Linked DNA regions of Schizosaccharomyces pombe. The protein of the gene in region 1 binds, or shares a complex with, the protein of each later gene. Each region holds a gene or a part of one and is shown on either strand. Other genes may lie near its edges.

What was found. The genes of interacting proteins can lie anywhere in the genome.
Region 2: img2 (region 1) and mrpl22 share a complex: the UniProt entries of both Schizosaccharomyces pombe proteins name them as parts of the mitochondrial large ribosomal subunit.

What each region holds. Positions count from the first base shown.
Region 1 is NC_003424.3:589,155-592,690, forward strand, and holds img2 (mitochondrial 54S ribosomal protein mL49), read left to right. Parts: upstream 1-1,912; coding exon 1,913-2,092; exon of another isoform or gene 2,093-2,263; coding exon 2,264-2,401; 3' UTR 2,402-2,998; downstream 2,999-3,536. Other genes in the region: csr102 (sec14 cytosolic factor family phosphatidylinositol transporter), read left to right, coding at 1-1,105. UniProt on the Schizosaccharomyces pombe protein: Component of the mitochondrial ribosome (mitoribosome), a dedicated translation machinery responsible for the synthesis of mitochondrial genome-encoded proteins, including at least some of the essential transmembrane subunits of the mitochondrial respiratory chain.
Region 2 is NC_003421.2:2,027,634-2,030,813, forward strand, and holds mrpl22 (mitochondrial 54S ribosomal protein uL22m), read right to left. Parts: upstream 1,502-3,180; 5' UTR 1,398-1,501; coding exon 648-1,397; 3' UTR 541-647; downstream 1-540. Other genes in the region: helicase Hrr1, read left to right, coding at 2,022-3,180. UniProt on the Schizosaccharomyces pombe protein: Component of the mitochondrial ribosome (mitoribosome), a dedicated translation machinery responsible for the synthesis of mitochondrial genome-encoded proteins, including at least some of the essential transmembrane subunits of the mitochondrial respiratory chain.

The sequences.
Region 1 (3,536 bases):
ATCTCATGGCTCGGACACTCGCAGTTTTAATGATAAAACCAAAAATGTGCATTTGGAAAGAGTTGAAAAAATTGCAAGTGAATGGGACCCGGAAGGGCTTAGAGTTTGCTTTTGGGATGCTGTTAATTGTGATGATCCTGATGGCCTTCTACTTCGTTTCCTTCGTGCTCGAAAATGGAACGTTGAGGCTGCGTTGGAAATGTTCATGAAAACCGTTCACTGGAGAAGTAGAGAGATGAATGTTGGTGAAATTGTATGTAACGCTGACCACCTTGATAAAGATGATGATTTTGTGCGTCAACTAAGAATCGGAAAGTGTTTTATATTCGGTGAAGATAAACACAATCGTCCAGTTTGTTATATTCGCGCACGTCTTCATAAAGTTGGTGATGTCTCACCCGAATCGGTTGAGCGACTCACAGTTTGGGTCATGGAAACTGCTCGTTTAATTCTCAAACCTCCTATTGAAACTGCTACTGTTGTTTTTGATATGACTGATTTCAGTATGTCCAATATGGACTATGGGCCATTGAAATTCATGATCAAGTGTTTTGAAGCACACTATCCCGAATGTCTGGGTGAATGTATTGTACACAAAGCGCCTTGGCTTTTCCAAGGCGTTTGGTCCATCATCAAATCTTGGCTTGATCCAGTGGTTGTCTCAAAGGTTAAATTCACTCGTAATTATCGTGATTTGCAACAATATATAAATCCTGACAATATTTTAAAAGAATTCGGTGGGCCTAATCCATGGAGATATACATATCCAGAACCCTGTCAAAACGAAGCAGAAGCTCTGAAGAATGTTGAAGCTCGTAAGAGTCTTAGAGCAAAAAAGGATGCAATTGCTAAACAGTACGAGGAAGTTACAATGGATTGGATTTTGAACAATGGTGACATGGCAGAAGTGAAACAAAAACGTCGTAAGTTAGCTTCACAACTTATTGATGCATACTGGAACTTGGATAAATACATCCGCGCACGCTCAGTTTACGACCGCATGGGCCTAATTGCTCCTCAAACTTCCCATACTTTGCTTCTTTCTCAACCTACAAATGGAGATGTCAAAGAATCAATGGTAGAAGTTACTAGCTCGGCAACTTAGTCGGTCGTAACTTTCAATATTCCTGCTATTTTACATTGTAATCCTTCCCCTTGCCTATACTCCCGTATACTGACTAATTGTACTTTCCCGTGTTATTCTAAATAAGATGCTGGCTCAAAATATGATTGTATCATCTATTAATGCATAACTTTCAAGATCTTTTATATCAATTAGTTACATATGAAATCTCTTTCCTACGTTGATTTTTACACCCCTTTTCGTTTTACCATTTCCTTATCGCTTTAATTTTTTAGCACTCTCTTTAATGCACTTAAAATCATCTAGAAAGGGATAACTTTTTTTAGGTCTTATGGCTTTTCATTGAAGTTGTTGGTCGCAATACTTATCCATCCATTTTGTCTTTATTAGAATCAATGATCAGTTTTATTTGCAAATTAACTTAGATTTCTTGCTATTTATTATTATTTTTTATTTTATTGTAGGAAAGCGGTTCGAAATTAAAAAAAACAACAAGCTGAACACCTAAATGCCTACTCCAAAATATAGTATTAATTTAATGAGTATGCACCTTCGCTGAAGTATATTCCGTGCCGTAAAAATACTTTCGAGTTTAAACACGCGTGAGGTTCAAGCACCGATTAAATTTATTTAAAACAAGAGCGTTTTATTTTATTTTAATTGTTCTTAGTGAATCACTTAATCTTAGGCTCCTGTTTGACAGTTGTTTAAAACTTACAAATTTTTGGAGGTTATGATAGAAATCCTCTTTATTCGCGAATGCACGACGACTTCTTTTACACATCCACCATAAATTCCTGCAACTCGTAGAAAGTTTTGTTGAACCAAATGCGATCATCCTTAAAGCCAGTGCTATCAAATTTGAGGTTCAACTCAACAATTGCATCCGAATCACTTCGGTTTCATGTTTCACGTACACCTTCAAAAAATCTCCCAGTCTATCTAGACTACAAACAACGAGGAACGAAAATTCTGACTTTAATTCGTAAAATCCATGGTGATTCTAATGTAAGTATACATATTCCGTCAGCAGTAATCTCTTGGCTAAAGAAAGTACAAGTAAAGTCACTATGCTGCGGAAATTGTTCTATCAACTTTTTGCTTTAACGGCCAACCCAAGTTTATTTTAACTTCTTTTATTCGTTCTCTTTTTTTTTTCTAACAATATTTTATCAATAGGCTTTGCGGCTCAGGCTCATTTCCACACTTAAAATGTCACCGAAAGATGTTTATGTAAACAAGTTAACAAATCAAGTTGTCCTAAAGGGAAATCACATAGTCACAGTTCGTGAATGGTTACAAGACCAAGGTTTTTAAGTTCCTAGAATTTTTCCTTTTTTAGATTGTTACTATGTATGTACGTATCCTTCTTTCAAAGGAATGATAAAGTTGCTTTTTATCAACATAAAACTCTCGAGCATATATATCAATTTGGCTTTTTAGCATATTACTTTTACTTCATCTCCTTGTTACAGCGGTGATAATGTCAAATAAAACACAGCTGTTGCAAATAATTAATCTCGATTCATTTCTTCTCATCATACGTGGTTTTCAAACTTGACAATGGAAAAAATGCATCTTTTGTGATGGTTTTCCTTAACTACCTTTAAATAAATAGTTATTCGAGCTTCAGTAGAAACATTCAAGAGGTACTTGCGTAAAAAGAAATTCAAACATCTGCTTAATGTGAGGCGTCCAAATGCTAAATACAATCTTTTTTTTGCTACCTATTCGTTTGTTTTGTTGAATTTATAAACGCTTAAAGGAAATTATAATATATATATCGAAACTCCGGTGTTTTTATTTTTTGACTGTAGTTATAGACAGAATACGTTTAAGGCTATTAGGGTATATAACTAAATTAAAAATTCTTTTCTCAATATTGTATAGTTTGTAAATTGACAAATATTAAATGCTATATCGAAAACATACCTTCAAACATAATCTATATATCTGCGTCATACGCCCATGGACTGTTCTTTACCTTTCCCTTCACACATACTTATAATCCTGAAATCTCAACGACTTTTTCATTATTTTTGAATTGAACTTGGATTTGTCTGTGATAGGAATATTTTGACAAACATTTTTAGCTTTTAAAATTTTTGCTTTGTTCTGAAGACGTTGATTTACAATTTGCTTATGAATTAATTATTCACGAGAAGAAAATTCCTTGTAGTTTATCCCTTTTTTATTGGTGATTATAAGCTGAATAACTCTTAATGTTGGGAATTATATTTTCTTTAGTGAACTGAGGCTTTCTCGAAAAATACTTACGGTTATCCATGATTTAATGATTTTCTGTTTTTTTTGTTATTTTTTTTTCGTTTATCAAAAAGTGGTTAAGCATTGACACGATATAAGGCACTTTATTTCCGTGTTGAATTTTTTGTTTTGTTTTTTCTTGACATTAATACCTTACTTTCCTTGAATGCGAACAAACCGCATTCAT
Region 2 (3,180 bases), on another chromosome or scaffold:
ATCTCAACTTATTTTTTCATTATGGCCCATTAAAAAGAATTACTGTCTATTTGATGCGGTTTGTTTCCTTTTTTTTCCTACTGATCATTTGCTACTGCAAATGAGTTAAAATGCGGATCCAGCGTACCTTTACACCTAATAATTGGGGAATTAATGATATTTTATACTCGGTTTGCTTGATTGTTTAAAAGTGTCTGATGAATTTAGAACCAATAAATATGTGTCAAAATGGTGAAGAGATATGGATAGCTTCAACATATGGTCCAAAGCACGTTTTGAAAAGTCAAAAAAAGAAGCTCGTTGCAATGCTTCAAACCAAATTTGAAAAATGTTAATGAGGCAAACGATTGCATGAATGATTTAATAAGATTAGACAGTTTAAAAAGAATTGCGTTCTTTACGAAAACGTATCATTGAACTAAAAGTGATGTATGTACAGGTTGGTTAGTTTACCTTTTTACAGTACTATTTTTCTACTGATACCATCAGCACCATAGAGGTAAATACAAAATTATGGCGTTGCTAAAGAAATAAATAATAAGGGAAACCATATTCTCATAAAAAAAAAACGGCACTAGAATTACTATAAACGATATTGGGGGGAAATATTATTAGAGTATCAAAGATATGGGCATCTCAATAATGACTTAGCAAGTGAAAAAGTTAGATTTTAGGTATATTGGTCGGTTAGGCAGAGGCGTCCAAACTTTCTTTCTTTCTAGTCTTTGTTGACGACGCTGTAAATCGCGCAAGAGAGCTCGCTCATCTCTTAAAACAACAGTAACTCGAACCCGTGGAGATCTCTCAATGGCACGACCTCCACGGCCCATAGTGATAAGTTTCTTTAAATACTTTGCCTTTCCAACCCATATTTGATCAACGTAGAGAGTACTCTCATCAAGACCAGCTTCACGAACAGCGTTTTCTCGAGCAGAAACCAAAGCAGTTGCGATGTACTTGGAAATTTTTTTATCTGACATTTTCATTTGAAGTAAAGCATGATAAAATGGCTTATGGGCAATTTGACGACACAAAGCGCCGACTTTCTTTAAAGAGGAGCGAAGCACCATTGATTGTAAGGTGTAGGAAGGATCCATGGTCTCCTGTTTTTTGAAAGAAATACGTGACCTTGGTCTCTCTTTTACACGCTCTTCCTTTTGCTGACGATTAGAATCGTCCTTCTGGTTAGCAAGCATTGAGAAAATGTCGGACCCTTTTTGCGAACCCAAATTTGCAGGATTTTGTGCAGACTCCCTTAAGTAGGATCCATTTGAAAATTCTCTAACAAAAGAAAGTAATGGAAATTTGTAATGGTACGTTTTAGAATTCAATCCTATCGTGGACGATGGAACTAAAAAGCCCTTTGATATTTTCATAAATTGATTAATGTATTTCATAATTAAATCTTAAAAATTTTTTCCCAAATATTCCTTCCACACATAGAAGTCAACGTTTTCGACTAATTTGAGCAAATGCGCTTTCTCAATGTTGTAACAAAACCAGGTAAATATTACATGCCAAGGTGGTACTAATAGGAATTGCAACCTAACGAATTGCTAACTGTACTATGTTATAGGTCAGTTAGCATTTCCCTCCTTATACAGTTATAAAAATCTTAAATGAGAGAGCTCACTATCACTATGCAAGCTACTCAGTTTGTAAATCTATTTCAAGGATGGATAAACTACGATAAGGTAACTTTACAACGATGTTAACACATGCTTACATGCTTTATGCTGGCACACTAAGCTGCACATTGCGGGTATTATCTGAACGCGTTAAATGCATGGTCACGTAAAGACAGAAAACGGCCCTTGGCAGTAAACAAACAACCCATTTGTATGTTAGACAAATAATATTAGAGACAGGTGCAGAGACTGTACATGAATTGTTATTTATGATATCTTTTAGCTTCTTTGGGGAGGACGAGATTAATATTACGACCTAGTGGGCGCGTACTGAGATATTTTAGTACAATAACCTTTTGAAATTTTTTGGATATTATCCTTTTCTTTTTTATTATGGAACAAGTACAAGATGAAATTTGGAAGTTAAGTACGCTGGACGCCTGGGAAATGGTGAACAAAAATACAGAAGTTGTGTTTGATGAAATCCCCGAGCCAGAAACTTTAAGTGAAATGAAAAGACACCCATTGTATAGCAACATCTTTAACGCCGATAATAATACTACGAGTTTCACAGAACAAATCGAGACTTCTGAAACCTCCAAAACCCAAGACTCGGAGGGGAACAAAGTTGATAAAAATTTAAAAGAAAACAAGTCAATACGTCGTAAGAGAAGCATTGACAACGATTATGAATTGAGTAATGTAAAGAGAAATGATATAACATCGGGAAAAAATAGAGAATTCGAAAACGAACACCATCCCGCAAGCGATACTTCTTCTTGGCGGGAACTACCATCAATTCCAACGTTGGAAGAATTGACGTCAAAGAGTGTTGAATTACCTTCAAACAACATATACGGAGGATACAAGTCCTTTGAAGATTACTTATCTATACACTATCGGTTGCTACGTGAGGACGCAGTTTCCCCATTACGAGAAAGTGTGCTTCGGTACAAGGTAAACCCCAATTACATTACCGGCTCTTCGTTAGCCGTATATGATCATGTGCGGATAGATGGCTATACAATATCTTCCAGTGTTATAGCTGCAAAATTATCCTTCAGTGTTCGCGCTAAGAAAAAAATAAAATGGGCTACCAGTCGTCGTCTTATCAGTGGATCTTTAGTTTTATTAAGCAATGATGATTTCCAGACTTTTCGCATTGGAACTGTCTGTGCGCGGCCCTTGAGTGGCCTTAATAAACATCCTCATGAAATAGATGTCAAATTTGAAGATATTAGTATCTCTTTAGATCCTCGAGAAGAATATGTTATGATCGAAGCTACTTCAGGCTATTGGGAAGCTTACAAGCATGTTCTTCGTTCATTACAGAGGCTTTCTGCTAGCACATTCCCGATGAAGGATTACTTGGTACACTGTAAAAGTAATCAGGAGACTGCTAAACACATACAAAATAATCCTAGGATACGCATAAATTCTATCTTAAAAAATAACTCTCAAAAAATCGTAAATGCTCTTGAGCCGTTCGGTCCTGGCGAGTATATACTAGACTCGTCACAGTTAAAAGCTTACCAGTCCATGCTGACTAAGA